Drosophila melanogaster: one gene and its partners. The gene in region 2 interacts genetically with the main gene of each other region. Each region holds a gene or a part of one and is shown on either strand. Other genes may lie near its edges.

Region 1 (7,547 bases), on a different chromosome or scaffold from region 2:
CCTCCTGCAGACGACGCTTCTTCTCCAGCTCCTCGCGTACCCGGACATTGTCGTTGTGGGCCGCTTGGAAGGCATCCTTGAAAGTCTTGATGTCCGCAAAGAACTCCTCCATTGTGTATTTGCTGGGATCGAAGGCATAGTACTCGCTGAGGTCCTTGTACAGCTTCTCCATTTGCAGCTGCATTTTGCCTGAAATTAAAACGAGATGTTAGAGAATTCGATTTTGCTCATGTAATATTCGTTCCGATCAGATGAGATAATCTTACCCAGCACGTCCACTTGTTGTCTGCACTCCTCGGCAAACTTGCCCATCACCTCGCTAAACTTGTCATCATCACACTGCGGCACCTTGTTGTTCTGGAGATCAGTTTCCAGGTTCTTAACCGCCGAATTCATTTGCCGCATGGCCTTTTGGATGGCATCCATGTTGACCCGCGACGCTTTATTAACATGCGACAGATCGTCGTAGAAGTTTAGTGCATCTGGGAATTTCTTTTCCACCAGGTCAGCCAGGTAGTGCAGCAATGTCTGCTTATTATCCGCATCCTTCGTATTGGACAGTTTGGTTAAATAACTGATCTCAAAGCCAAAGGCGGCCTCGTTTTTGGAGCCCGAGTTCATGTAATTTCCAAGCAGCAGAATCAGCTCCAAGATCTTTGAGAACTTTTTGCTATTCCGGATCTCTTCGCATGCTGCCGTTCCTGCCACAATGTCGGGTTTGATATCCTGCACCATGTCCGCGTAGGTCAGCTTGAAGTTCAGGTTGTGAAGTCGCGGCGAAAGGCGTTTAATTTCCCCTGAAATTAAGTAAAGTTATTCTGCGCCTTCTGCACTACAAACTCCATTCGCCTTACCTATTGTGGCTGCAAACTGTTCAATCGGCGGTAGCGGTTCGCCCTTTGCCTTGATCTCCTGCAAACGCTTGAGGTGCTCTGGCGGCGGAAGGTACTGGATAAGTTGCTGCAGGATATTGGAGGACAGGATGTCGGTGTCGCAGCGCAGCAAGCAGATCTTGATCTGTTCGTAGGACAGATGCTTCAGCGATCCTCCCAACATAATAGCCAAGTTCTGAGCAGTCTTCGAGTCGAGCACACGAAGATCGACATTTTTCTTTGTCAGCGTCGTTGGCTTGTCCACCGCATCCTTCTGTTCTTTCTTTACAGGTTTAGAAGAGAATTTCACGGCCAGTTCTGCGAGGAAGTCATCCTGGGCCAGCTTATCCTCCTGGCACTTGACCCAGAATGCCTTGTCGGACATTTTGGCCGGGACAATGGCTTTCCAGTTGGCCCGCTTCATGGGATTCTTGACGTCCCACTTCTTCTTCGGTTTTAAGCCATGAGGCAGAACGGGAACCATGGGCCCCATCATCATGGGCGGTGGTGGAGGTCCCCCTCCTGGGCGCATCATGCCAGGCATGGGTGGAGGCGGTGGGCCTCCCATTCCGGGCGGTGGAGGAGGTGGTGGCGGTCCACCTGCCCTTCCCGGCATGGGAGGTGGTGGTGGAGGCGGAGGTCCACCACCTGCTCGTCCCGGCATAGGTGGCGGCGGTGGGGGAGGTGCTCCTCCTCCTCCTGGTGGTGGCGGTGGCATGGGTATGTTTACCTTGGGTAGCTTATTGGGCGACGGAGCCGCCACACCATTAGCCTCCATCAACTTGACTTTCTCCTCCAGATGAGCCGCCTTCGCTTCCGCCTCTTGCTTGGCACTCTCCAGCTGCTCGATCTTCTTCTCGTACTCCTCCGACCGCTTCGACTCCTTGGCCTTGGCCTTCTCCACAATGTCGTCCAGCAGTAGCGAGGTGTCTATATTAAAGTTCCGGTTCTCGAAATTCGGATCACAGTAACCCTTGTGGAAGACGATTTGTGAGATGCACTCCTCAATCAGCTGATAATAGGCAGGTCGGAAGTAGAAGTCATCCCTGATGTACAGCAAATGCTGCAGGATGGACAGGAAGTAGGGCTCGGAAGTGGTGTCAGTCACCAGGTTCTTCAGCACATCGAAGCAATCGGTGGCGTCGTCCATGTTGAAGGTGACATTATCGAAGCGCTGCACAAACTCCTCGAAGTCATCCTCGCGGATCTCGTTGAAGATCTTGAAGTGCTGCTGCAGGTTCTCATTATTGCTGGCCTCCACGATTTTGGTGAACTCATCTAGGCGATCGTATAGACCCATGCGCATAATCTCACATCGCAAGTGCAGGCGGAAGTTCAAATCCGTGGGGGTATTGGTGAGAGTATTAATAAAAATCAGGCTGTGGCATGCCAAGTCCCGTTTGGGATCCTGCTGATCCGATGCAAACAAGGCATCCACTATGGGTCGAAAGCGCTCGCTCGCTTTAAAGGATGTGGCTGCAATAGTGGTTATGGCTCGGAGAACCTTCTCGTAGCCATTCCGCTCATAGACAATGCAGAACGAGGCCAGCAGCTTGAGGGCTTCACACATCGTCTGCGGCTTCCGGGGATCCAGGGATTGCGCCAGCAGCAGCACCACACTATGCTGATCCGGATTGAGCACCACGTTCAGACCCCATGTGTTGTTCATGATCGCCTTCAGGCACCGAATCGCCTCGAACTCGATCTTCTCGTAGCTGGCATTATTCTTTGACCGGGCCAGCAGCTTCTCAATCGTCCCGATGCCCGCCACTCCAAACTCCTTGATCCACGAGATCGGATTGCTGGTGAGCGCCACGCGCAGAGATTCCACACATTGGTACACCTTGTGCGTGCTGTGCTCCCCATTCTGCAGGTATTCCACATAGTCTATGGGCTTCTCGAAGCGGGAGTTGGCGCTACGCTCCAGTGAGTTTTTACCTGGAAGAGAAATTGGAGTTGGAGTCGGATGAGCGCACGTATTGAATTTCTGTAAAGCTATTTAGTGGTCAGCGGTATTTTACATAGTAGACATAGGAATATGGTTCTATAAACACCTATTAATATCTAATCCGATCAGTTCGTAACTTAAGCAATTGATAATTATGGCTAATATTGGACATTTTGATTTGTTACACTTTTGACATAAATTAAAAGTTGGCACAATAGTAAATTAAAGTACATTTTGCCATTCAACTCACGTTTGTGCTGTTTCGATGATAAAAAGTATACGGGTTCATTCCAAAATAGCTCAAGGCTTATATTTTGAAAGAAAGAGGTTTGCCTCCCACCGACAACACACCTGAATTTAGTCATATCAGCGATGATTCACTCTACCCTATCATTAGTCTGCTAAATCGGAATACTTTCCCACAAACGTACAATGGCAATTTGATAAGAAAACCATTTAATTAACGAGAAATTACCACTTAAGCTCTAATCTGGAATATAATCGTTAACAAGTTATGTTAAACAAAGGTGTAACATTATACACATATCAACACATTATAATACGCAAATGTGTTTTTAAGTTTATTTGCCATCACTCCAGATTTTCCAACTTGAAGTTTGTAAATTTCATGATAAAGGATGATACATATTCTATATAGGTGGCTCAATGATTACACTTTGGAGGTTCTAAATAGTTGCTGCACAGCTTTATGTGATAACTTTGCCCTAAAACTGTGAGAGATAGGGGTAGTTAAAAGGCTATCATCATGTCCCACCTTTGGAAGGGAGGCCTTCGGTGCGACCACCCACCCCTTTTTCTGATTGACCTGCACCACTGACATCACTCAAATTGGCCAAAACCTGCCCACCACTTATACGTTTATCCGTCAAAGCAAAACTACGCTAACTGTTTTATTAATTAACTCAAAACGGCAAGCGAAGCGTGTTAATGAACAGCTTTTTGTGCGAGCCTTTTTTGTTGTCGGCCAGTCCATTGTTTGTGTTTTAAATTTAATTTCGCAACAAGTGGGTTCTGCCACAATAAACACGACCCACAAATACTTACTTCAGTCGCTTTTACCTCTCACTCGCAGCTATCTGCACCTATGAGATACGATTGTGCCGCAGCTCAAGTTTACTGACAGGCATCACAATTTATTTTCAGCTCGATTTTGTCATAATGTGTTTAATGTTTTCGCATATTTGCATTTTATGGCCGTTCCAAAGTGTAAGGAAAATCACCCTCTGCCTCTGCTACACTGAGAACTAAGCCTCGTCGGTACAGGAAATTTGAATTAAAATTTGAAATATTAAATTTATATTCAATAACAAGGCCATTGAGATTTATAAATAGTAGGTTATAATCATTAGCTATATTTATATATGATGTTTAGTAAAAATACTTTCAGTGTACATAGTACATCTCTCTCTCGCCTTCACGATGCACTTGCTTATACAACAAAAAGACCTAAGCGCGAAATAAAAGAATCATTTCATTTTCTCACTGCCACTTGACGTAATTTAAATTGTATAATGTGCACGGTGGTGGAAATTCAATGTCTTTGCATTTTCATTTTTTGCCGCTCGACTTTGTCACGCATTCGCCGCGTACCACTTACATACATACTATGTATAATATAGCACTTGGTATTACTTGATAAAATGGGCAAGCAGATAGTCCGCGGCTGTGGCGCAATTAGGCGTTACAAACGATAAGGGAACTTTGATTCCACACTCCGCAAGACTGATAATGGACCATGGCCATGGTGAACTAACTGGAGCGAGACCCAAAGAACGAAGCTGAAGCTGAAAGCTGAGCTGGCATTGAAATGTGCTCAAGATACAGCTGGCGATGTGCTACAGTGATAATTGGTAGTATCACTGTAGTACAGTAGAGTACACCGTACTAATCTCGCTGGATATGAATGAAGCAAACACAAGGGAAGATTCCAGCTGAATCATTACCGCGCTGCGATGCACATAATATCGTTATAATAATTCTAGAAATAAAGTATTCTCAAAATTGAAGTAGAGTTAAGCAAGTATATGTAGTTAACAAACAAAGTAATCACCTCTTGACTAATTGAAGTGGAAACCATTTAGAGACTTATGTATGTTATGAGCTTACTTATCCAAAGGATCGTTGACATCACTTCAATCGGTTTAGGAATTGGCCAGAAATATAGAACAGAACCTGGCCACAGAGCAAATTGGCAGCTAAGAAGGCGCTAAGCAATCAGAAAGCGAAATTTGCAGTGTCACGCACACAGCGAAACGGGGAAAGCACACGGACACGAGTTCCGTTACCTGCTTATCTTATCACAAGTGGAATGCAATATTCCGCAGCACAACAAAAGCAAAAAAAAAAAGTAGAAGGCAGAGTCACCCAGTTGCACGAAAATCGATGGTCTGCTGTTTGTATACCCTTGCAAAGGGAAAGGGTGTTAAAGTTTTGCCAATCCGGTTGGCCTTTCAAAGTTGCTTGGAACATTACGGTTCAGACGAGTTTAGATTATTCGTATATGTATGTAGATTATTCTTAGACTTTCTATTCCAGAACTATAGTTCTTAGCCAAACGATACTCAATCTTCAAACACAAATGCGGTTTTCTGTTTGAAAACGTGTACTTGCACCATGTTCTTTACCTTTCAAGTGCCACATAATCATCTTCTGTCGCTCCTCCTTCGATTTGGCCAACAGGGGCTCCCTCTTGTCCTTCGGAATGTTCATGTCCTCGATGATCTCCAGAAACTTCGCATCCAGCTCCGCAACGCTTAGCTGCTGGATGTACTGCTCAAAGTCCTCCACGCCCGGCACCACATAGTTGTCCGCGGACACGGGTCGTCCGCCATGGGCCAGGGTGCCACTGCTGATGGTTCCTCCCTTGGACTTCGAGGGTCTTCCGAACAGACTGTCCAGGAGCCCGCCGCCCGTGGATTTCGTTTTCTCGTGACGAGACATTCTGCAAAGAACAGAACAGAAATATTGGGTTCGATTTCATAAACTATGCAAAAGATTTCAAGTCTAACCCCAGCTTTTTGAGGCGCATTTCGTTGGATAGCTAGGCGAAAACTAAACAAAGACCAAACAACGATTTTTGGGGCCTGCGCAGTCTTCAATATTTTGGGGGAGACAACTTGCACAGCTGTTCCTTGTTTACAAGTGTTCGAGAGCAGCGCACAGACCGCGGTTTCTGATGGCTTCCCAGCGAATGCATCCAATCGATGGACGGATGGCTGGGAGGTGGTCGATCATTATCAGCTTGGGTTTATTTACAATTATCTGGGGTGCCGTAATGTCGATTCAGCCTCAACGGAGTGTGGAATTTTCAATTAACACGTACATATGTACGTATTTTGAGGGAACGAGGCCCATTACAGTGGTTCTTCGACTTGGAAAGGGTGCTGTTTTCCTTTTACATGCTTAAGAACATTAACACATGAGAGTTGGCTTTCATTTAAAATTTTTTAAGGGTGGAAATCTAATAGGAATTATAATTTTAATACTGTGTGAATATTACTGGTAAGCTCAAAAATGATCAATTTATAATTAGGTTTGTACAATAAGTTTATATTACAGATTAAAACACTCTCAAGCTTAACCATTTTCCAAATTAGAATCCGACCACTGTGCTATCCAAAACTCTCACCGCGTGAAAACGACTGATTATAATTATAAACAAAAACGATAAAAGTATACCGCAGCAAATTGGACAAATTCATTAATAATGCGCACTAAATTTACAAAACGATGCGATAATCGCGGCCAGCCAAAATAGGAAATAGCACGTTATTCACAGCGCAAAACTGAGAGCCAAACAAAACACGAGAGAAATTGGTTAGAATATGTGGAGAATATGGAGTGATTCATTTGACCAGGCTGAGAGGCTGGCCGTTAGCGTTTGAACATTTGAATTGCCTTGTATTGAAGGATGCGTTGGGAACAAGCTTTGGCTTTTTGCGTTAGCTTGTCCAACGCATCTAATGAATCACTAATGAAATCGGAATCGCAGCAGCTGAGCAGCAGAGGTAGAAAACAGAAAATCCAATAAAAAGGCAAACGAGCAACAGGTTTTGCGGATGGTTCTGGCTCGCTACACGGAAAACAAAGTACTTAAACTGTAAGATTTGATTAGGAAATGAAATAAACGTTCGTTATTAGTGCTCTTAAATTGAGTAAAATTTACATTTTAAGCTAAGAGAGCTATAAAGTGCTGCGTTTCAATATTTGGCATGCAAGGATAAATTTAATAGATATATAGATATAGATATATATGTGCCCTGGTATTTTCTGCAGTGTGGCGAACGGGCGTGCCAACTGGCGGCAAATCATTCACAGTGCTCGGCTAGAGAAATCAAATTTAATATATGACTCCGCAAAAGGCCAATTGTGAATGGAGTGTTGTGTGTGTGTGTGTGTGTGGGCAGAGGAGTGTGCGAGGGAGGGGGCGAGGAGGTGGGTAGTGGAGAGTGGAGCGACAAGTTCAAGCAGGGCAACAATTTCTTTTCAGGTCGCCAGTACACATAAGCATCTGCGGAGGAAATGCTTTCAACAAGATTTCTTTTGCCAAAGAATTTACTGCAATTGCCTCTTTCTCTATTTTGTTTACATGCACTGCATCTCTTTCCCTCCCCTCCACAACATCACAACACAACCCTCCGCGACCAACACTCCTTCCACAGAACGATCTACATATGTCTTTCTCGCTCCCGCTCTGGCATTAGTTG
Region 2 (4,813 bases):
AATTCTGGATAATAGGAAATAAATCAATAATTAGCAAAGTGTTACTACTAGCTTAGTTGTTGCTTTTAATTCAACTCAGGCACATTTGTTACCTATAAGGCGCCCCACAGCACTGTTCCGCCATCGAGGTTAGCCACAAGAAGAAGTTACAGAACAAGCTATTTTTTTTTTTTGGGCAAGCATGTATTAGGGAAATGCAGAAAGAGTCGAAGGACGAACGCCCAGCGAAATTAGTTGGCAATTAGGACTAGACCTAGTTAGCTAATGTGCAAACTTTAACAAATGGCAACCAAAAGTGAGTCAGATTGAAGCAATAAATTATATACAATCAAATAATAGTTATCATTTCACAATACGTACTTCGTAGATTTGAGCCATGGTAAAATTTTTTTCAGTACAAAATGTAACCAAAAAGACATTCTTCTTTAAATTCATATAAAAAAAATGTTGTGACTTGTGTGTAAAAAGTGAGAAGACGGCTTGGTTTGTATAACATATGTACATTAAACGCAAAGGCAACTTAGAAGTTCAAAAAAGAGTACAATCTGATCTTTGAAAAAGATCTTAAAAAAAACAACAAGAAACAAATGTAACAATAAAGTTAATAAATAATGCAAATGCATGCATCTCAATGAGTTCATTGATGTAAATTATAGTAATTTCAGTTAATTTCTTACTCTGTAATGCGGACCGTGGGACAACCATCGTCGAGGGCCACTCCGTCGACCCTCAGGCCGGGCGTGGCGTCCTTGGGTATCTCGACCAGACGGATGGAGTGCATCGGCTTGCCGGCCGTTGTGATCCGCGCCTTCGCATCCGCCGGCTGGCAGGAACGTTTGCCATAGCACTGGCCACAATAGAGCTTCGAACGCTCGACAAGGGCGTACGATTCGCCCTCGCCGATGAAGGAGCCGCATGCCGTGCAGCAGAAGCACTCCGGATGGAATTTGTGCTCGCCGGCGACCATTACGGGTCCGGTGATAACGGCCATACACTGCTGACAGGCATCGCCGAATCGGCCGTAGTAATCCTCACGACAGTACAGTAAGCCCTCCCGTTCGAAGTACCAGTTATGCAGATGGCCCTCGCAAACGGAGCAGCGAAAGCAATCGCAGTGCCATTGCTGGCCGAGAGCCATCACGATTGGCTCCTCTGGATGTGGCAGTAGTTGACCCCGACAATGGGCGCACAATGGTGAGTGTCCTCCGGACACAGGTCCTGATCCTGCGCCCAATCCAGTGCCTCCTCGTCCGCCATTTGCCCGCAGGCGCTGCTGATGATGCATGGAATGTTTTTGTGCCTTGGCCCGATCACGTTAGCACTGTGGGTAAAGAGCAGGGGGGCGGGAGGTTAAAAAAAAGGTATTAGTCGATGACGGAATAGGTATTAAATATAGTAAATATAGACCAGCAGTCACGGAACTTGGCCAATTATCGTCAACAGGTCGATATGAACCAGTGGAAACTAAGCAAATATCATATAGGCAATGTAGGTCTATAAATAAGCTATCTTTACCCATTATCATTAACGTTGAGAAAAAAGATATCTACAATGATATCATACATGAAATGCATTTATTATCAACTAATATAGTATTATATTAGTTTTTCTAACTGATTTAAGTGTTAATGATAGGAAGGTTTGGCATTTTTCAAAACCAATTGCATTCAAAACTCTCCGTGATTTTTTATGATATACTGGGACAGCAATTCGAACTTTATTGCTAAAGCGATAGCCATGTAAATATTTTTGCGTACTAAACAAAATGACCGAACAAAACAAAATAATTGAGTCCGGTAGTCATTAGTTTAGGGTTCAGTGATAAAGACTTCGATCCTGAGTCAGCTGCCCCCCATCGGAATTCGCTATACCGCCTGATTTCCATCATCGATTTGCATGCATAATCCATGGATATATGCATATGGACATACATATGTATATGCAAATACACATGAATGTTTGTGTATTTATGGATATAGCTCAACATTGACCGTGAAAACTCCGGTTGATGCAACAACAAACGCGACTCTTTGGATCAACTGCAATCGCAATTGCACTTCAGCTGAGCTAACTGTAGTTGTTGTGCACGTCCCTCTTCCGACCGCATAAACATGACCAATGAATGACGAATGCACACGCACACACTTGCACGCGCGCACAGTGGTCACATGTGAGCCGTGCGTTAAGTGCAGTCCAAGCTCCATTAGGGGTTAATGTGCCTTTAATCACCTGCTTAACCCATTGAACTTTTACTTTAACCAACCATATCACAGTGCTGTGATTTTGCTTTGAAGAGATTGGAAATGAGTGGGTGTGCCACCCTGACTGAAGTCTATAAAATAGCCAAGACAAGCTAGGTTTACGAATGGAACGAATGGTAAAAAATCAAGTAAGTTTGAGTATTTGTCGCACTAGTCCCGCTAGAAACTAATTCCGTTTAATCAACTATGGTTATCATAACTTGCGGTCCAATTTTTGTTAATTAAGTCAATTAATTCACTCAGGCAATTTGCATATTTTTGGACTCCAAAATTCAGGAATGTGTCCACTGTGCGGAGGCAGAAGCACACACACACACGCGTACAGGTGCTGCACACACACACACACACACACACATGCACGCGCTGTTAGAAAATGTGTGTGGGGGAACGGGAACAACACGACATTAGCAAAGCCAATAGCAACAACAACTGGTTTTTTACTTAGATTTTATTGTTTTTTGCTGGACTTGTACACTAAACTAAACCAAACACACACACACACTTACATAATTGTTCGTTTGTATTGCTATTGACTTGACGCACATTGCACATTTGTTGGTTTTTCCTCGCCAATTTCTTATTCGACTGTAATTCCCGCCAAGCAATTATTAATCGCAACTACCGAAATGCCGCGGATTTTGTTTAAATGCCGACGCGACGCACAGCTCGCTAACTCAAACAATAAAAAAGAAATGCATAATAAACAAAACAACAACAAAACTACACAAAATAAAATACAATTCAGCCAGTGTGACCGTAGGACTGTCATTAAAGAATCTCAAAACTATCGTCTAGCTGCCAATCAACTTAAAAAATATATAAACTCTTTAATGAACAAATTTTTTATTATAAACACGCTGCTTGTCACTAACAAGAAATATTGAACAGAATTGAATATTGAAATAGTTTTTCTTTAATCTTCGAGTGACCGTATATGAGTATGGTTGTAGAAATAATGCGGTCCCATTGAATATATTATTTAACGGAAATTGGGATTTCAAGTGTTTTATATTCAGTTTTTCAAACTTTAATTTAAGTTCACGCATCCCATCTATTTTTAATGAACCCGGTGAATTTAGCGATAATGACAATGAAATACTTTCTGTTTATAACAAAAACAATACTGTCTTCAGCGTTTATTTTATTGTATACTTATTGTTAGCGTCTCTCACCATTTTTGTTTTTGGTCAGTTGAAAACAAAAAAAAAAGTGAAAACATTATAAGAATATTAAATTAAGTGTATAGGGAATCATTCAATTTGCCTAACATCGTCACTATCCTTGCGCTGCGTTTGCCCTGCCACCGAAGCTGCTGCTCCCCACTGTCACTGTTGCTGCGGAAGTTTCTGCGGCAGTTGCAATTGTTGCGGCTGTTGAAGTTTCTGTTGCAGTTGCCTGCTGCTCCTTGACGGCCACAACGTCCTCCACCGCCTGGACTTGCTCCTGGATGTCCCGTCGTTCCTGCTGACGCACCAGCTCAAAGTACAGGCCCCGCTTGCCCATCAGTTCGTCATGTTTGCCGGTCTAAAACAAGGGAAAATATAAATATTTCTGAAGATACCAATGGTCTAGGACAACTCACCTCCACGACGCGTCCCTGATCAAGGACGACAATGAGGTCAGCGTTTCGTATCGTGGACAAGCGATGGGCAATCACCAGAGTGGTGCGATTCTGGACCACTGTATCGAGTGCCTTCTGCACTTCCGCCTCGCTGGTGGCGTCCAAGGCACTCGTCGCCTCGTCGAGGATGAGGATGCGCGGATTCTTGAGCAGCGCCCGTGCAATGGCGATGCGTTGCCGCTGACCGCCGCTCAACTGGGTGCCCCGTTCGCCCACATGCGTCGCATATCCATCGGGCAGGGCGGTCACAAAGTCGTGCGATTGTGATAGACGCGCTGCCGCATACACATCCTCCTCGCCCGCATCTGGTTTACCATATCGGATGTTCTCCAATATCGATGTGCCAAACAGCACCGGCTGCTGTTCGATGAAACCGAGGACATTGGACCGCAGCCAATAGGGCGATATGTCCGACAGCTTGTAGCCGTCCAGTTTGATATTGCCCGCCGATGGTTCGTAGAAGCGTTCCACCAGCGACGCTATCGTCGACTTGCCCGATCCACTGGCTCCCACCAGGGCCACCGTCTGGCCCGGGCGGAGCGTCAGGCTAAAGTCCTTGAGCACCAGCTGTGAATGAAGCAAAAATTGACATAGGAAGTTCATTACTGTTTGCATTGCCTAGACTCTAATCTTTTTATCACTTAGCCGTAAATATTGGCCATAAATGTTTGTGGGTATTATAAAATGGTTATCTACTTGCGGAAGCGATAAGAAGTTATTCAATATTATATAAAAAAGTGGCGAGTTTACAAATTACAGAGCATCGATTAATGTAAATATGCCATCATTGTCTCGAGAATGAAATGAAGATATACTTTAATACAACTCACATGATCGGGTTGCATGGGATATGCGAATGAGACGTTCTCGAATCGAATCTCGCCGTGCAGCCGCTCCTGCGGGATGATGTAGCCGCGCAGCAATTCCACCT
Region 3 (4,936 bases), 5.1 Mb from region 2:
AAATCGATGTTGATGCTCTCGTGGGCCGACGTCTCGATTAGCTGCACAGTGCTCTTGTAGTCCTTTCGCTGGCTAATTTTCTCCGCCTCTCGAACATACAACTCATAAGCGTCGTCGTTCTTTGTGGTCACCAGCACCAGTGGCTTCTTGTTCTTTAGTATGGTTGCGATGACATTCTGCACGAACTCCACCTGCTTCTCCACACTGCGATTGGGCACTGGACTAACGTCGAAGACGACAACAAAGCCATCGATACTGAGCCGGCCATCGGGCATGACTTTCTGTTCGTACTCCTTCTCGATGCCCAACTGATTCTTGCATATGTACATTAGCTTCTCCGCGGAGAAGACCTTGGTGGCCGTGCACCGCTTTGAGTATGGATCCATCTTTCCCACCTTAAAGGCTTGGAACGTGGAGTCGTCCATGAACTCCGTCTGCTCGATGATATTAAACTGGTACTCGACGCCCTCCTCCGTCGTCTTGCGCACATCGCCCCAGTAAAGGAAGTGGTCGTTGTTCACGATCCGGCCACTAAAGTCGCTTTGGCTAAGCACTGATATGTGATCGATGAAGTAGTCGTCGGCCATCGGGCGCATGAATCTGTTGCACAGGCATGACTTGCCCACTCCCACCTGCCCGCGGTCCTTTTCGGTCCCGGATAGTCCAATGACCGAGATGTTAAACTGACGCATCTTGACGTTCCTGCAAGGATTCAAAAGTCGAAGGAGAGAATTAGATACCTGGCTTATAGACTCGCAGATAAATGCTAAAAGTGTTATGGAATAGGTAATTCCGGATTTGGTATTCTGCAGGTGTTTTCGTTCAAATGTATGATTGTGCCTTATCATATCGATAAGGTGTTATCTACTGGCGCTTTTCCTCACATGCCTATCAACATGACACAATGTTGTAACATTGTATCCATCGCAAATTGATTCATTCAATCGGTTGTTAAGGTAATATTTTAAAATATCACAGGAGATAACCTGTTAACGTTGTATGAAAAGGATAATATGCATATGGATAATATGCTTTTCAGGATTTCACATAAAGATATATTCCTTATTATAGGGATATACGAAAGAAAAATAGCGTAGAATAGACCTTGGCTCGGCTCGATATATACAAATGTGTTTTCGTGAAAACGTCAGCTTATGGATATCTTTGGATATTCAGGGATAACCTCTCAGTTTCTCCGGACACACACGGAATGGAAAACCGTCGATTTCTGGTCACTTTTTCACGGCAAATGGCTGGCTTGCGATGCCAGCCGATGACTATTATCCAAGATAACCTTCGAGTTGGAGAATCGCCCCGTGTCCTCCGCGCCGTCTGCTCCAATTGGCCGCAGGACCTTCACATTTCCGCACACTTTTCGCCAGTCTAGGACTTTGTCATGAGTTCCTTTTGGCTACAACTACGCAGTTACGGATACATCCACGGATTGGGGGTCCAAAAACACGAGAGAGCGAGAGCGAGAGATTGGCTGCTGCGATGTGACAAAAAAAAAAAAAGAAACGGAGAAGAAAAACGCGCAAGCGATTTTCTTATGCCGGCGCTGCCCGAAAATTCATTCCATGTGATTTTTGGCCAGCGAATAATATACGCGAATCGCGATTTCACAAAAAATGCACAGGGCTCTTTTTTACCTGCTTTCTTTTGGGTTGCTAGTTTGATCTTTGTATTTATTTATATGGCTAGTTTTTATACAACATTTTCGGCAAGTAGGGAAAGTCAGTCTGCAACAAATCCTTTTTCCGTCCTGACTGCGGCGGTTGTTCTGTCGCAGCGCTTCTTTTGGTGCTGCAAACGACACGGCGCAACTCTCTAAAGAGAGAGAATCAGAGTCAGAGTGAGCGAGCACGAGCGACTGAGAGTGGAAAGTAGAGAGAGCGCGTGGGTGGATTCGGATGTGAATGTGTTTGTTGTTGCTGTTGCTAGTGCACTCCAATTTGTTGCTGTTATCCTCGAGTGGGAGTGCAACAATGTGGGTGTGTGTGGTTGTGCGTTTCAATGAGAGTGGAAATAATAAATTCCCCACTGGCCTTTAATTGAGTTTTTCCGGCGTACAAACCACCGCAAACACACACACACACATGCTGGGCAAGTGCAGCGCAGAAGCGAAATTGGATCTGCAACAGATTTCCTGTACATTCTCCGCGCTGCACAACAACAACTAACAACTAACAACAACAACAGCCACAGCGCAAGAAACGGAGAGCAACGATCCAGTGATAACAACAACGACAAAGGCAAAAAGAAAGGAGGAAGGGGAGGAGAAGAGAGAGTACTGCAAGTGCATGTGCAACGGTACAATTACAAAAACACAAACGGGCGCGGCGGGAGCGGCAGAGCGCAAAGACGAGAGACAAAACACCATACAATTTTTGGAAACGAATTTTAAGATTTGTTGCAGAAAAGAAAAACACTGTTGCCGCATCCGCCTAGCCATCCCGCTCTGGCGCACACACTCCCAGCAGCGGGGCATCTCGCTCTCTCTGCGTGCTCGCTGGCTGCGTGTGTGTGCGTGGGTTCTGTGTGTGTGAACAATTACCTGCAGCTGCGCACAAAGAATTCAAGTTTAATCCGCCTCGGCGACACTTTTTCTTGAAGCCCGTGCTTCTTGGCTTTTCCAGCCAGTCACTTGACAAAATACTAAGCAATTGTATTTGTTGTATTTGCTTTAATAATTATTTTCCCACCATGGAACTCTCACTCACTCACACACACGCACACAGCAGGCGCACACACTCAAGACAAGGGAGAGCGGGAGAGGGAGAGCGAGAGGAGAGAGGAGCAGCGCGTACACAACGTATACAAAGGACAATTACGAATCAGCATCGTAAACGCACACTGAAAAAGCAGGTCAGATACGTCCTGACTCGATTCAGGAATCAAAACACAAAACTCAATGCCGAATGCCAGTCGATTCGCATATTACGCACGCACGAACGCTACTCACAATTATTGTAATTCACATCCGAGCTTTAATTTAACAACAACAAAAACTAGAGCTGGAACTAATGTCGATGCTTGTTAGTTTTTATCGATAACCCGATACGCGTATGGGTGGCATGGCCGGGAACGATAGATATATCTGGTATGTGTACTCGCTAACCAAAGTATATTATCGATAAAAGTAGATTCCGATAACAGCTGCGTAGTTATATATTTATTTGAGGCGCCAAATTTAAACTCAATTAATTAATTAGTTATATAGAAATGGTTTTTGCAATAAGTATTTATTCTGGTCAATGTTGTTATAAATTTTACAAGCACTATTATAATCAGCCGGGGGGCGGAGTGGGGAAAGGTTGCTTACGACTATGAAAAACAAGGCGGGATCGAGTCCAACTAATACAGGTCCGATTTTTTCATGACCGCCGTGACCAGTGCCTTAAACGCGTCCTCGATCATGATGATGTGCAGCTGGGCATCCCGATACGTGCAGAGCTTGTCGCTATCGGTGAGTGGCATTTCCATTGTGGTCATGCCCAGCGATGACTGCGAATGCAGAATGCGCCCGGTGGTCATCAGGATGTTGACGCAGTCGTCGGCCAGAATGGGAAACGTTTCCACGAAACGAACCATCGCTGGCATCACATTGCGCAGGAATCTACACTTGGTCGATGCGGTCAGCATGGACAACGTCGTCTGGATTACATTCAGGCAGAATTTCGAGACGCCCAGACTCTTGGGTATCGAATAGTTGAGCACCAGATGGGAGGTCAGATCGATGGTAAAGATCTGTTTTTCCATTTCCGTCACGTTGAGGAATTCGTGAACAAAATCAATGCATATGTGCATCGATGGCACACTGGCCACCATCATGGGAATAACCGACTTTGGATACGTTTGGAAGTGCACTAGTTTCGCCAGCGAAGGCTCCGAAATGAATGCCTGATGCACATAGGTGCCAATGATGCCCTGTATCTCACGCAGCTCCAGATGCGACACCCGATCCGTTGCCTTGCTGGCTATGTAGTCCAGCACCTCCAGCAGAATGTGCACGGCGGCGCTCTCCTGCGAGGCAATCAGCGTGGTCCTTAGGTCCTCCCAAATCGCATCCGTCTGCATCATGCCATTCTTGTCCAGCACCTGCTTCTGCTGCATCTGCATGTGCACGTTGAGATAGGTCTTCGAGGCGGCTAGGCTGCCCTTCAGAATGCGCAGCAGGATCATCAGCAAATAGGGCGAACAGAATACGAAGCGTGGACAACTGTTGATCAAAAGGAATGCGAAAGAATTTTAGGAAACAACACACGAAAATGACGAGGCAACCCACCTTAGCACCTCCATGGGCTCCAGAAGACTCTCGTTGGCAAAGGTACGTCGATCCATCGTATCCGAGCCGTTGGTAATCGCTCGCAGCGACATGATCCACAGGGTGGTGGGCAGCACGGCATTCAGGCGCAGCCAAATATCGTTGTACAGATCCTTGACGTATCGCGGCACCGACTTGGCAAACACCATCGGCAGATGCTTCACCAGCTGTTGTCCATACTGCGCCTGCGTTTCTGGGGGCATCTGGAGTAGCTGCTTAAACACGCGGATGGCTAGATGCGGTTTCGTTTGGATGGCGGCCAGTGCACGATCCAGGGTCTCCGGCTTGAGCTCATGCTTGCTTACCACCACCGTGGAATTGCCCTGGGCCAGATTGTGCTCCTCCAGCCAGTCATCGACCATGCTGAGATGCGGATAGTTGGAGATAATCAAACGCAGCAGCGGATGGAAGAGCGAGAGATAGTCGTTGTGGTAGTGGTGCGCCTTCTGGAGCAGATACTTCAGTGGCAGTCCGCCCAGGAAGTTGTTGGAGTACTCCTTCTGCTTGCGACCACCCAAAGCGCTGAGGTTCATCAGTCGCGTATCCTCGTACAACATGAGGTAGTAGATCATCAGCAGCTGGGCGGTTAGTGGACACGTCACCTCGATCTGG
Region 4 (6,356 bases), 4.0 Mb from region 2:
GCGCAGAGTTCCCAGACGGCTCGCCGCAAAATCCGCGCCCCCGTACGCCGTTTGCCGCCCCGGTAGAAATGGCATCGCAGTCGGCCATCACGATAGCAAATGAGGCCGCCGTCGGATTAGGATTAAGATATTGGCAGCCATTGCCGAGAGTAACAGAATCAGCAGTAGCAGCAAAAGCATCAAGGGCCGAAAAGGAAAAGCAAGACACAGAAGACGCCGGCAACAATAGTGGGCTCAAAGGTTCGGTCCAGAGCCAATATCACCAGGAGCCAGATATTCAAGGATCATCGAGGATAAACATGCAGTCACCAAAGTCGCCATGTGTGAACAAATACCGCTTCGTACGCCGCCACAGCCTGAACTCTGAAACCAGGAAACCCTTTAGCAGGAATATTTGGCAGAATACAACAGGAGAAGGCAATGAAACCAATGGCGACGATGTCCCTAAAACACCAACAACTGGCGACCAGGAGGACAACCAACAGGAGGAACGAGATTCAGCGGTATATACATCAACAGAACGAACTGTACTAGTAAGGACCCAATTCAAGATAGTGCGGCAAAGGAGCGTCATCTCGAAACCGAGACAGAAGCCTCCGACTTACTCTTAAAAAGCTAAGGAATAGGTTCGTTCCACATCCTTCTCTGCTCTCCGATGATTGGGAGATGACCACGCGAATGTCGCTCATACTACGCATATTGATGATTACAAATTATAAAAACACTTCGTTGGATTTACGCGAGAATTCATCGCACCAAAAAAAAAACGAAAATGAATATATTTTAACGTTATTTTTGTTGAATATATAATATACCTTAACGATAATTATGTAATAATTATTTTGCGAAATAGTAAAGAAACGTGTAATGCTGCAATCAAACAGAGATGCGAGGCCATGTAATAGCGCAAAAAATCAACTACTGTATAATGTAGTAATACGTATATTCGAGTTATTGGCCGATACGTCGAGCATATGATGATTGCAGTCAGATAAGAGCGATCGGCAAACGATTGCATTAAGTCTTTAGTTTTTGTTATTAATTTTAGCGTTTAGATTCACACACACACAATTCACACGAGGAAAATACCTGCAACGACGTTCTGTGCAGCAGCCAAGGTGGAAAGCCAACAAATTAAAGAAAAACAACTATCTAGCAACGTAAAGAAACCAACCAACCCTATAGCTAACAAGATAACAGATTAGATGAAAAGATTAGAGAGAATGGTGGCAAACTGGAAAACCGAAAGAGTTATAATTGTATGCATGTTTTTTATATACATAAATTCATAAAGAACATTTAATATTTTATTTTAAGTTTATATTGATCATTTTTAAGTCGAGAACAGAAATGGAAATCAGAAGTCTATGTTGAGAGAGAAACGGTATCATAATGTAAATAAGTAAATATATGCGGTATGATAATTTAAACATTGTGCTCTTTACTTGGGTTTTCAACTGGAATTGCAATGAAATTCTATAACGAATATTTGGTGTCTTAAAGTACATATCTTACTTTGAATGGTAATTGTTTTCAGCGCGAATACTTTACAAACATTTGAATTTCGAAAAGCCAGTTGACCACAGGCGAACTCACCATGCCACGGCAACGGTCACACTGCCGCCATTGCGATAGACATCGATAGCCGTTCCAGCACTAATACTCACGATAAACACCACCTCTATTTCTGGCATCGGCAATTATTTCCCTAGGTTTATTATTTTTTTGTTAAGCGAATTGCTTGTGCGCTCGTGCTGTCGCCATAATGTGTGCAATGTGTGCCAGCCAGAGGAGCAAGTGGTGAAGGTGTATCGCTTGTGCGCATCTCGATTTGTCCATCCATATCCAATTGAATCCCAGTTTCCCAGTCGCGTCCGCTGCTATGCGTGTGTGTGTGCGTGCGTGCCCGTGTCCCTGCATGTGTGTGTGTGAGTGAGATCGGGAAGAAGTTGTGTGCTGTTGTTGTTGTTGTTTCTGTCGGATTTGCCGTTGCCATCGTTTGTTGTTTGTGCATTTTCCATTGTCGGGCGACGCAACAAAAAGAAAAAAATTACACATTAAAAATAGAGAGCAAGAGCGAGAGGGAAGGAGTGGTGTGGAGTGGAAAAGGGCGGTAAAAGGGCAGAAATTTGGAGCACGGGAAATCCGAGTCGCTGAAGATGTTCTCGAAGAAGAAAAAGAAACCGCTGATCTCGATGCCCAGCAATTTTGAGCATCGTGTGCACACGGGCTTCGACAAGCGGGAGAACAAATATGTTGGCCTGCCCCTCCAATGGGCGTCCATTGTGGGCAACAATCAGATACTCAAGTCCTCCAACCGCCCGCTGCCACTGGTCGATCCCTCGGAGATTACGCCCACCGAGATTCTCGATCTGAAGACTATTGTGCGTCCGCATCACAACAACAACAAGGCGGACACCACCTCGCTCAACAGCAGCAGCACAATGATGATGGGCTCAATGGCGCCGATGAATCCCATGGCACCTGGCGCACACCCAATGATGAGCCATGGCCCCGGAATGATGATGCCACCCGAGACGGGCGGCATAGTCCTGCCGAAGACCTCTCACGTGGCCAGATCCAATTCGCTGCGGAGTTCCAGTCCGCCGCGAGTGCGACGGGTAGCCAATGTGCCGCCATCGGTGCCGGAGGAGGAGGGACCACCGGCAGCTGGAACACCGGGAGTAGGTGGAGCTAGTAGCGGTGGCTTTAAGCCACCCGGTGCCCATCCCTCCCTGCTCTATAACAGTCAGCATGCGCACGCGAATGGAGCAACAGGACCACTGGCCGTGCGCACGGATCAAACCAACCTGCAGCAGTATCGCAGCAATCTGGCCCCGCCATCCGGCGGCTCCATGCCCCAGCAACAGCAGACTTCGCCCGTGGGTTCGGTGGCCAGTGGCACGCGATCCAATCACTCGCACACGAACAATGGCAACAGCGGCGGCAGCTATCCTCCCATGTATCCCACAAGCCATCAGCAGCAGCAGCAGCAGCAACAGCAGGCCAAACAGGGTGGCGATCAGAACCAAAATCCTCTGCATCCGCATGCTCATCCGCATCCGCACCATCACCAACATTTGGCCAAGTCGGCGTCCAGGGCATCCAGTTCCAGCGGGGGAGCGAGCAGTGCTGCCCAGCAGGCGAGCGGCGCCAGTGGAGGAGCGGCGGGTCAGCCAAAGCAGGACCAACGACTCACCCACGAACAGTTCCGTGCCGCCCTTCAGATGGTGGTCTCCGCCGGTGATCCACGCGAGAACCTCGACCACTTTAACAAAATAGGCGAGGGCTCCACGGGCACCGTATGCATTGCCACGGACAAATCCACAGGCAAGAACATCCGCTTTAACTATTGTCAAAACCATTGAATTAATGGCATTTGGTTTTCTCATTACGTACAGGTCGCCAGGTGGCCGTGAAGAAGATGGATCTGCGCAAACAGCAGCGACGGGAGCTGCTATTCAACGAGGTCGTCATCATGCGGGACTACCATCATCCCAATATCGTGGAGACATACTCCAGCTTTCTGGTCAACGATGAGCTTTGGGTGGTGATGGAGTACCTCGAGGGCGGCGCCCTCACCGATATTGTCACCCATTCGCGCATGGACGAGGAGCAGATAGCCACCGTCTGCAAGCAATGCTTGAAGGCTTTGGCCTATTTGCACTCACAGGTGCGTGACCAGCATGACACTGCCCCTTTCCTGTCCCCGTTCCCATTACCATTCCCTTGGCCAAACTGGGCAGCAGAGAACGGAGTACTCGCCATCATGCGATTCTTTGTGCCTTTGTACCTTGCCATTTGCGGCGCTTTCTTCGCCCTCCGCTTTCGCGTGGCTTTGGTTTCAATTTCTAAATGTTGTCACCAACAAAAGTCGTCGGCCGCACAGTGGGCCATCGAGTGGCGTAGCACGCCCAAAGTGCCAGGTGAAATCGCACGTGCATGCCCTACCTCAAAGCGAAAAGTGTGCATAGAGCGATTTTCGAATGGATAGTTAATTGCATCTTATGATGAAGGAAGTTTAAAGTTATAGTTCATTACTCATTGATAGATAAGCCAATTTGCTATGATTTTGCCTGAGATACAACTTGAGATATTAAAACTATCAATATTAGAATAGCATATAATAATAATATTAAGTCAGTCAGTCAATTGGAACTTGTTTAAGCCCCAACATTTCACAATACTAAGCATTCCTAATGTTTTAGATGTAGTCTATTTAAATGAAATTAGAACTAGAACCCAACCTGTTTATGCTATCTTCCACGTTAGGGAAACCAGCGTGTTCCCAAGAGCAGGAAATTCTTTTTGGGCGTTGCAGGGTCGATCTGGTTTCTTTTGTGCATTTCTGTCCCACGTTGGCTCGTGTAATGCGATAAGTGTCTGTCTGCGGGAGAAAGGGCGTTGGTTGGGGGAAAACCGCAAACTGTGAACGCTTTTAACCAATTTCCCTTCTCTCTCTGTCTCTTTCGACGGTGCTGCCGATGGCGATAAACCATAAACAGGGCGTCATTCATCGCGACATCAAGTCGGACTCGATTCTGCTGGCCGCCGATGGTCGCGTGAAGCTATCGGACTTTGGATTCTGCGCCCAGGTGTCACAGGAGCTGCCGAAGCGCAAGAGTCTGGTTGGCACGCCGTATTGGATGTCGCCGGAGGTCATATCGCGCCTGCCGTACGGCCCGGAAGTGGATATCTGGTCGCTGGGCATCATGGTCATCGAGATGGTGGACGGCGAGCCGCCGTTCTTCAACGAACCGCCGCTGCAGGCGATGCGTCGCATCCGTGACATGCAGCCGCCGAACCTGAAGAACGCGCACAAGGTCTCGCCGCGCCTGCAGTCCTTCCTCGACCGGATGCTGGTGCGGGATCCGGCGCAGCGTGCCACCGCCGCCGAGCTGCTGGCCCATCCCTTCCTGCGCCAGGCAGGACCGCCGTCGCTGCTGGTTCCGCTGATGCGCAATGCGCGACACCATCCGTAGTTGGATGCCACTGGACAACCCAGACGATCCGGCTGCTCGATGAAAGCAATCATTCCCACAGACAACGGATCCCGGCCCGTGGGCATCCATCTATTAAATTCTAGTATTAACATTCAGTTTGGCAGCTGTACTTAAATCCCCGGAGAATCCTCGAAACGTTGTAAAGTCATTTAAGCTCCGCACATCCATATCCATATCCATGCCCACTAACGTTCCAGAAGAGAACGCAATGTGCCTTTCACAAGCCTCGAAATCGAAATTGAAATCGCATCCTGCAACCGATACGGATGGAGAAACGATATAGCATTTATCTGCCCGAGAACCACATTTTTATATATATATATATATATACATATATGAGTATTTCAGCATTTTGCTCTCTGTCTCTTGTCAATATTGATTTGTGTGCGTGTGTGTTTGATTTTTTTTAACCAGCCCATAAAACATTGTTCGAATATATACATATATACGCTAAGAGCTAATGTTAAAAATCTATATATATATATATATACACATATATTTTTTATAAAAACAAATCCTAATTCTAAGCAAAAGCGAAACAACGAAGGTGTGAATCGAAGGGAGACAGAAAACGAAAGAGAAAGAGATAGCGTTAGGCGGAAGAGCATATACAATTTCGACATAAATATTTTTTAAACATTTTACATTTTACATTGGTGTGAAAAGTTTGTACGCTCCAGACATACACATATGCATATATCTAAACACATTCCCGATTTCGAAAATATTTTAGAACTTTTAGCTTACATTCTTTGTTCTGTTTTTTTGATTTAACCCGTGTAATTATTAATTAATGAATAAACTTAAATGCGAAAATGTTCAATTTTGTGGTTTCATTCATAGTTAAAAACTACCAAAAATAACTAGAAATCCAAAAAAAAATTTCTGAATAGAAATATTGAATATTTTAATATTTTATTCGACATTTTGGAGTTTCATTTTAAAGATATTTCTGTTTTTTTTATTACAAACTAATTGAAAAATGCATGTTTCGATTTTGTTGTTTTTATTACTGGTTGATTGATTGTTTGATTGATTGATTGATTGTTTGATGGTTGTGAAGAATACATAATTGTGCCCGCTTAAATACTCGCACATATATTCGCAAAATATATATGCGTATTTATCGCGTACATGAAGGATGGGGTACTGGCTCTGGATAAGTGGGCGTGGTCGTTGTGGCGTTGGTGGGTGGGTGTGTGTGAGTTGAGTGAGTGTTGTGTGTGCGCGTGTGTTTTTGTTTACAACATAAGATTACAAATATATTACATACACGAAAAATCAATTGCGAACTAAAAACTAAAGGGCAGATCGGGCTGCCACATAGCTAGCCATATGATTCGATGGGTAGAG

The links.
Region 1: of LIMK1 (region 2) and dia, changing one suppresses a phenotype caused by changing the other (phenotypic suppression), as found in Drosophila melanogaster (2 studies listed by BioGRID).
Region 3: of LIMK1 (region 2) and RhoGAPp190, changing one suppresses a phenotype caused by changing the other (phenotypic suppression), as found in Drosophila melanogaster (2 studies listed by BioGRID).
Region 4: of LIMK1 (region 2) and mbt, changing one enhances a phenotype caused by changing the other (phenotypic enhancement), as found in Drosophila melanogaster (one study listed by BioGRID).

What each region holds. Positions count from the first base shown.
Region 1 is NT_033779.5:20,758,760-20,766,306, reverse strand, and holds the start of dia (diaphanous), read right to left. Parts: upstream 6,008-7,547; 5' UTR 5,870-6,007; coding exon 5,850-5,869; intron 5,783-5,849; coding exon 5,466-5,782; coding exon of another isoform or gene 5,410-5,465; exon of another isoform or gene 4,166-5,409; intron 2,811-4,165; coding exon 855-2,810; intron 798-854; coding exon 267-797; intron 190-266; coding exon 1-189. UniProt on the Drosophila melanogaster protein: Required for cytokinesis in both mitosis and meiosis. Has a role in actin cytoskeleton organization and is essential for many, if not all, actin-mediated events involving membrane invagination.
Region 2 is NC_004354.4:12,589,164-12,593,976, forward strand, and holds the start of LIMK1 (LIM domain kinase 1), read right to left. Parts: upstream 3,031-4,813; 5' UTR 2,768-3,030; intron 1,322-2,767; 5' UTR 1,286-1,321; coding exon 678-1,285; intron 521-677; exon of another isoform or gene 420-520; coding exon of another isoform or gene 361-419; intron 186-360; exon of another isoform or gene 159-185; coding exon 93-158; intron 5-92; coding exon 1-4. Other genes in the region: CG1824 (uncharacterized protein), read right to left, coding at 3,537-3,785, 3,844-4,449, 4,713-4,813. UniProt on the Drosophila melanogaster protein: Protein kinase which regulates actin filament dynamics. Phosphorylates and inactivates the actin binding/depolymerizing factor tsr/cofilin, thereby stabilizing the actin cytoskeleton.
Region 3 is NC_004354.4:17,649,537-17,654,472, forward strand, and holds the start of RhoGAPp190 (Rho GTPase activating protein p190), read right to left. Parts: upstream 3,027-4,936; 5' UTR 2,963-3,026; exon of another isoform or gene 2,555-2,962; intron 1,775-2,554; exon of another isoform or gene 1,650-1,774; intron 1,365-1,649; exon of another isoform or gene 1,184-1,364; intron 703-1,183; 5' UTR 693-702; coding exon 1-692. Other genes in the region: IntS2 (integrator 2), read right to left, coding at 3,355-4,219, 4,286-4,936. UniProt on the Drosophila melanogaster protein: GTPase-activating protein (GAP) for RhoA/Rho1 that plays an essential role in the stability of dorsal branches of mushroom body (MB) neurons. The MB neurons are the center for olfactory learning and memory.
Region 4 is NC_004354.4:16,609,033-16,615,388, forward strand, and holds mbt (mushroom bodies tiny), read left to right. Parts: upstream 1-1,652; 5' UTR 1,653-2,159; coding exon 2,160-3,330; intron 3,331-3,401; coding exon 3,402-3,673; intron 3,674-3,744; exon of another isoform or gene 3,745-4,242; intron 4,243-4,505; coding exon 4,506-4,982; 3' UTR 4,983-5,824; downstream 5,825-6,356. Other genes in the region: Nup153 (nucleoporin 153kD), read left to right, coding at 1-66. UniProt on the Drosophila melanogaster protein: Involved in neurogenesis of the adult central nervous system, and together with Cdc42, regulates photoreceptor cell morphogenesis. Phosphorylates exogenous substrates when activated by Cdc42.